Linked DNA regions of Canis lupus familiaris. The protein of the gene in region 1 interacts with the protein of each later gene in a biochemical or structural test. Links are inferred from orthologs where the notes say so. Each region holds a gene or a part of one and is shown in the gene's direction. Other genes may lie near its edges. The genes, in order: AGO2 and DICER1.

Evidence for each region.
Region 2: the proteins of AGO2 (region 1) and DICER1 form a complex in vitro, tested with the Homo sapiens proteins (2 studies listed by BioGRID and IntAct). The link is inferred for Canis lupus familiaris from reciprocal best matches to the Homo sapiens genes AGO2 and DICER1.

What each region holds. Positions count from the first base shown.
Region 1 is NC_049234.1:35,794,650-35,798,466, reverse strand, and holds the end of AGO2 (protein argonaute-2), read left to right. Parts: intron 1-1,085; coding exon 1,086-1,187; intron 1,188-1,829; coding exon 1,830-2,029; intron 2,030-2,305; coding exon 2,306-2,414; 3' UTR 2,415-3,336; downstream 3,337-3,817.
Region 2 is NC_049229.1:64,308,870-64,312,686, reverse strand, and holds part of DICER1 (endoribonuclease Dicer), read left to right. Parts: intron 1-3,036; coding exon 3,037-3,192; intron 3,193-3,817. UniProt on the Homo sapiens protein: Double-stranded RNA (dsRNA) endoribonuclease playing a central role in short dsRNA-mediated post-transcriptional gene silencing.

The sequences.
Region 1 (3,817 bases):
GGTTGTGATGTGTTCATATACTGACATGCTACACGGCAATGAATATGATAGACTGTGTGTATCACATGAATACATCTCAAAATTGTAAATATTGAGCAAAACCGCAGGTAGCAGAACATATGTGACACACGTACACAACTTTAAAACCTGGGAAGTAACACCAGGTAGTGCTAAGGGAAACTTAAAAATGCAGTGAAAAATAAAAGCATATGTAGGAATGATAAAGTCTAAATCTGAGACTGCAACATAGGAGGGAAGCAGAGGGAGGCACTATTTTCAAATCGTTTACTTAAAAAAAAATCAGAAGGTGTGAAAAAGGTTGGCAAGAAGTAAAATACACACCCAAAGGGGCACAGGGGTTATACCGGGGATTCTCTCTTTTGTTTGTGTTTGAAAATTGTATAACTAAAAAACTAGTGATTTACTAAAAATAGGTTGGGCTCTAGAGCTTTGGCGTTGTTGCTCCCCAGTGGTAGTAGCGGGGCGTCTGCTGGCTTTGTCATCCTAGAATGTGAGCCTAGAGTGAAGTGGTTGGATATAATTCGCAGTCCTAGTCTGTACCCCTGCTTCTCCGATGGTCTCTAAGGGAAAAGCATGCCCTCTTGGGTGGTGGTGATGAAGCCACCCACAAGGCGCAAGAGCTCCTGACAGCTTTCAGGGTTTTCTAGCTTTTGTGCCTTGAACAGCAGGTGTGTTTGTGCACAGCTGATGACCTGTCAGGTGTCCATCGTGCATGGTTTTAGATTTGTGTGTCGGTGACCTCAGCAGTCATGGGGAGTTCTTCAAGCGTTACACACAGATTCTCAGTGAAGGGCAGACAACTACGATTCTCTTCTGGGCCTTGACGAGATGGGGAAAATAGCCCCAGCCGTCATGGGACAGGAACTTACTTACTTCTAGTAGTTAGTGTTTGTTAAATTTTATCTTAGTTCTGTAGCGCTGAGCAAATGCATTAGCTGGTGTAGACTGCGAAATCGGGCAGCCTGCGATCAGGAAGGGCCAGCAGCGGAACGCAGTGTGGGTGAGGCGGAATTGCTAGCTTTACCTTGCTGCCCCGTGTCTAATGGGCTCCTGTGTTGCCGAAGGTCGGGAAAAGTGGAAACATTCCAGCAGGCACAACTGTGGACACGAAAATCACCCACCCGACCGAGTTTGACTTCTACCTGTGTAGTCACGCTGGCATCCAGGTAAGGACGGTGGGGGGGCCCTCCGCACGTTCTCGGTGTCTCCGAACACAGACCCCAGCGGGCACTGGGGGCACACTAGGGGAACCAGGGCTGGGGCCCCAGCCTGTCCCCAAGGCACTTGGGCAGGTGGCCAGTGAACAGGTGCGGCTTGGGACCGTGGGTGCTGAGGAGCAGGGACCCACTGGTGTGCTGTGGTCGGGGTTCCCATTTTAGATGAGATGAAGTCAGAAGTAGCTGGGGCAGAGGCCAGGTGCGCTGGTGAGGTGCAAGAGGTGTCCCATGTGCCTGGAGCCCGGTGACCAGCGAGCTAGCAGAGATGTGAGCGGTGACAGGGCCCCTGGGGCTGCTACGAGAAGGGCAGCAGGTGACGGAGGTGCTGACTCAGGGTCCACTCCTTCCCACTTCGTGGGCCGCAGCCTTGTCCCCGGCCACACGCCTTTGTAGGACGTACAGGGAAGGTCTCTGTCGGTGAGGGGCCCACAGTGTTTTGTCCTTAGGAGTCGTCCCACTGTGTTCTCTGTACGGAGGTTGCATAGCCCACCGTGACCAAAGCGTGGCTTTTCTCAGCAGTGCCCTCGCGTAGGTGAGTTCTGGATTTCTCACTCTCACATTGACTCCTCTGATCCTCTGATCTGCTTTTAGGGAACAAGCAGGCCTTCCCACTATCACGTGCTTTGGGATGACAATCGTTTCTCTTCCGATGAGCTGCAGATTCTCACCTACCAGCTGTGTCACACCTATGTGCGCTGCACACGCTCCGTGTCCATCCCGGCGCCAGCATACTATGCCCACCTGGTGGCCTTCCGGGCCAGGTACCACCTGGTGGACAAAGAACATGACAGGTGAGTGGCATGCCTTTCAAACTGGCTGGGGTCATGGCAGGGGGCACTTCTGTAACACGCTTTGGCAAGCTCCGTGTTCAGACCGGGAAGCAGTGGGGCCCCTGTGGCTGGAGCCGACTGTGACACAGACACCCGGAGGCCAGCACTGACACTGCCGCCCAGTAGCCGCATGGCCACCACCCCAGACATCTAGTGCATAGTCTTACCTAGTTACCCGCACGCTGCCTCGTGGTGCATTAAAGGCTGCACACTCTCTCTCTCCTCCCATCCCCGCAGTGCCGAAGGAAGCCATACCTCCGGGCAGAGTAATGGACGAGACCATCAAGCGTTGGCAAAGGCAGTCCAGGTTCATCAGGACACGCTGCGCACCATGTACTTTGCTTGACGTGTTTTAGTGTTTACGATTGTGTACCGAGTTGGATTCACATGAGACCAGCTACACTCAGACCAACAGATGCCCAGCCCTTCCGTGACAGCCAGCATCGAACATGAGACGTCATTGATTTTAGTAGATTCTCCATTTTCCAGAATGCCTTCCGTCCCAGATTTCAAACTTGGATTTTGAACTGCAGACCTGTATGAGACCCCATTGTCGTAGGAAATATGGTTTGCCAAAATCTATAAGCTGCTTATTAAAAATAGAGTCCCGTGTTTCCTAAAAATCTCCTAAAACCAGTCTATGAACTCAGGGCTTTAAAACATTTTTAATTTATTTGGTCATTCAATTTACTTGTTTTTAACACATGATTCTCTATGAAATTGGTGGGCTCAAACTAGCTGTGAACGTTCTCAGAGAGTGAAAGCAACGCAGATCGTGGCTGTGGTTTTAAAGCCTTGAGCATTCTGAGGTGGTCACTAAAGTTTTATGTCAGAGTGATACTAGTGTGCTCCTGACAGGGCTGACGCAAGCTCTTCAGGACCTCGGGCAGGTGGCCCGCCGAGGCGCCCATGGGTGTCTTGTCCTGCCATTGCCTGCCTTTCACTCAGCTTGAAATAAGGAGCGGGGGCAGAGGATGGGCCATGTGTGTTTACAACATTTATAGGTCCAGAGAGATTGGCAGACAAGTGCCATTTTAATAAAAATTTATTTAAAAAAAAAAAAAGAAAAAAGACAATATGCCGACAGTCTAATCATAAGATTTGTCCTATAGGACTGTGACATTTATTTTCCAAAGTTTCTAAAGAATACGGGTCTGTGGTGATAAATACAGTACAATCCTTTTTCACTGTTATGTCTTTAATGTAAGAGAAAAAATATATATATCTGGTTTGCAGTATTAATGTGATAGATAGATGCTGTTTTTTCATTTTATTGACTTCGGGGTGCTTATTGTGATCTGTTTCGCATATCAAGAGTGTTCTGGAGACTGGACCACCTCCTGTGGTTCTCAGTGCTTACATACAGGAGTATGCAATTGAGTCAATGTGACCGCCACCCGCCTCCCCCCCGCGTAGATTGCGTAGCCTGTACCTTCGGGGGGACCGAGCGCAGGCCCGGCGGCCGCTCACCACCACCCCACGTCCTGCCCCCTGTGCATTGCTCGGCCGATTAAGCACAAATGGAATGTATTTATTCTTCCATTCCCGGGAAACAAGTCCGTGTGTCCGAGTGTCCCTCTCTCTGTCCGGTTCTGTTAGACGAGTTCCGTAGGACCTATGCACTGAAGCGCGCAGAGAGCCGTGGGCGGAGGCGCCCCGTGGGCACGGGCCCGGCGAGCCCTGCCCTCGGTGGACGCCGCGCCAGCAGAAGAGCCTTGCATCCTGGGCCCTGCGTGTGGGTTTGCCCAG
Region 2 (3,817 bases), on another chromosome or scaffold:
GTTTTGGAGAGTGAGGAAGGGAAAGAGTAGCAGTGCTCTAGCTCAGTGACTCTTCAGTATAAAGGAAGTGATGCCAGAGCTCCAAGCAAGCAGTGCTTGAGAGGCCAAAGGAAGAGTGTGTTCTGAAACCAGTGCGAATTAAGATTTAAGGAAGAAAAGCAACAAAGTCACACTATTTAAGTGATGATAGAAGAGGTATCACAAGGCTACCTGTACCTGCTTGACAAATAACTTAGAAAGCTGCTATTTGCCCTAAACACTTAGAAGGAAGGAGTATCACATGTAATCAGAGGGCGTTGATGGAAGAGGTGGATTTATAGTGTGTAAACACAATGAACAAATGGCAGAGCGTGTTAGCACTCTGACTAGACTGTGGCAGCAGTCAGAAGTGTGGAAATACCTGAGAAAAGATTAAAAAGGCAGGTGGGTGAAGCTCTTGTGGAAAATCTTTAGTCTCACTAGGCAAAGGAGTTTGCACTTATTTTGAATGTTGAAGACACTTTAGCTCAAGAGCCTCTACTTTTTTTTTTGAGAGGGAGAGAGAGAGAGATATTGGGAGGAGGGGCAGAGGGAGAGAATCCTAGCAGGCTCCATGCCCAGTGCGGAGCCTGATGCAGGGCTCAATCTCACGACCCTGAGATCATTACCTGAGCCAAAATCAAGAATCGGCCGCTCAACCGACTATGCCACCCAGGTGCCCCATGAGTGGCTCTTAATGTTCATGAAGTGGTGGTTGTAAACGATGGCTCTGACAGCAGAGTGCAGCCTGAGTGGAAAAGCGAAACCAAACCAAGCTGAGCGATCAGTTGGGGCTTTGAATCTATGCAAGCGGAAAATGGGTTAGTTGTGGAGTTCTGGCAGTGAGGAGAGGGCTGAGGTGAGTAGTATTTCAGAGGGAATGCGAGTTGTAGCTCACAGCAAGTGCCTCCTTTAGCCAGACACTACTCTTGCCACCTTCTGTAAATTGCCTGATGTAGTTCTGTACACTTTTATTCTGTAATTTTATTTATAGTTGTATATACTTCTATTATCCATAGTTGCTAGATGAGGGTACTGAGGCAAGAGACGATCGCTTGACGCGGGTCACATGAGACTATGTGGCCGAGCCCAGAGAGTCTGGGCTTAGGGACCTAGCTCTTCACCACCACACTCCTCAATCTCCGATGTCACGCTATAGCAGCAGACACTACCTCGGGTGTTTTATAGACCTCGCATGTACAGTCTTCTGAGAGAGCCCCTGGGGGATAGACATTGTGTCTCCATTTTGCAGATGGAGAAACTCTACCCAGAGACTAATTAGTTCCTGCAAGGTTACCTAACTAATCAGAGAGTTGGGGGTGATGGAGGTGAGAGCCCATACCCTTCACCCTCCTTGCTGCCTGTCAGTGTAATGAAGGGCAGAGAGGCCTCTGATGCCAGGGTGACTGTGTGTAAGCTGGGAAATTAGGGCAATGGTGGTGCTCGTGGTGACATAGGTGTAGCGTTTTCAGACTTCGTAGAAAATGAAGTGGAATATTCACTGAAGTATTGAGATAATTTAGATAAGGTTTGGGGGAATAGTCTCTGTAAGAGTGATAATCAAACTGTCAGAACAAACGAGATTTCCATAAGGTGTAGGAAGAAAATGTCAGAGCCTGAGGATGAGTAGGAAGGAATAGTACATGTTTTCTGTTAGGTAAGAAAGAAGTTCATGTACATTTCAAAAATTTCATCTGTTTGTCTCCTGGGAAAGCTTTGACTCCTTATTTCCTGTAGAGATCGTTGTTACTCCCTCAGCCCAGTGTCAAAGGAAGGCCTTGTCTGTGCTCACACTCCAGACACGTCCTGTGTCCCGACCAAATCTAAGCCCCTGGCTAGTCTCCATATGGGCTCTGCACGTGCACACCCACTCTGTTCCTCTCCCAGTGCTCTTCCCGTTTCTGCCCAACCCATATTGCACCTCAGAGCCCTTAGCTTTTGCTTCCTGTTCCTTCCTGCCCACGATTCCATCTAACTTTGAACATGATTGCCATCTTCATCCTCTCGTTGCCTTCTGTGACACTGTGATCCCATATAGGCACAGGGATGCTGGCATTTACCAGAGCTGTTCCGATAGCATGCTGCATGTGGTGCCACGGGTAGATGCCTGTCCCTCCCAGTTGGGTCGTCTGCAGGGACTGCTCCTCAGTCTCGTGGACTCTGTTCTTTCAGGGGCACCCGACCAGGTGTTTCTCCCGTGGCAGGTGCCTGTTCAGTGGTGTTGAGCTCCCCTGGAAAAGGGGCTTATGAAGTATTTGCATAAAAAGGAACCCCATTTGTAGAAAATGAAAATGAGATTGACAGTTCTAGATCCTCATTTCCAGGTTTTCACTAGACATCTCTGGATAAAAATGTTACAGTTTGAATAAGTTAGGGAGGACATGGAGTCCATAGGAAAAACACACCAGAGGGTAAACAATGAAGCTATTTTATTGTTGTGAGTAATATTACCTTTTGCTCTGTTTTAAAATGGTTGAATAAAAATATCTTGAAATGCCATCCAAAACAAAGGAATGATATTTGAGAAAATAATTGTAATTAAAGTTATGTTTGTGGCTTAGATTCTAGGAGTATGAAATTATTTTAGCTCTGTTCAGTGCCAACTTCCACTTTATAGCCAGAGTTGTGGCATTCCCTCCCGTTTATGTCTTTGAAAATATTGTGACATCTTAGACTTTTTATGTGGATTTTTTTCTATTCTGATAGTCCCAGTTGGCAGTTTGCATTTAATATCATTAGGTTGTATTTCCAAATGTTTGAAATTGTATGAACTATTTGTTCTGACTTTGTAAGGAATTTGCATATCAGTTTTTTCTAATCTGCATTTAAAATCAGAAATTCTCATCTACACTGAAGGATGTAGAATATATGGGAATATAATATTTGCTGTCGTGAATAAATTGATGATCAGATACAATAATATGAAGAGCATTGAGCTAAAAATATGTTTATTTGCCTGGTATGAATTCCAGCAGTGATCATATGCAGATAAGCATCTTAAAATTTTTTCTGCTAAAGGTCAGCAACTGTAATCTGTATCGGCTTGGAAAAAAGAAGGGACTGCCCAGCCGCATGGTGGTATCAATATTTGATCCCCCTGTGAATTGGCTTCCTCCTGGTTATGTAGTAAACCAAGACAAAAGTAACGCAGATAAATGGGAAAAAGATGAAATGGTAAGTTTTTGGTAACTGGAAGCATTTATTTCTTGGTGAACTGGAGAATTTTGTGCTATTAACTTTTGTGTTTCCTTTCCATGGTGTATTTATAGTAGAGTAGGTATTTGGTATAGTGAATTAATTCCTTTAAATAGACCGTCTCTTCATTGAATTTTAGAAACTGTTATTTTGACGGGGAGAGGATTCTGTCTCCTTTTTTTTTTTTTTTCAGGAGCATAAATATATATGATGCTGTGACTCAAAACAAGAAAAAAAGCAAAACTCCCTTAACATTTCATTTCACTGTTATGTGTAAGAATCTGTCATCTATCCTTAGCGCTCTGTTCAGTAAGATGACTCTTCAGTAATGACTTGTGATCTTCAGTCTGTGAAATAATTTCAGTAAAGCCTTGCTCTGCAGGTCAGGGTTTTCTCAGTTAGGACTAGGTCTTCTCTGATGACCTTAAAAAAAAATCATAAAGATTGTAGTTTTCTGGAAATAGTTTAAATCTTGCCAGTGGCTTAAGGGCCAAATATTAGATGCAGCTGCTTCGTTTTGTCTTGTCTTGAAGGCCACCAGAGGGCACCTCGGAGGGCCTCAGAGCTGGAAAAGCCGTCCACCCAGAGGTGGGCCGCTGGAAAG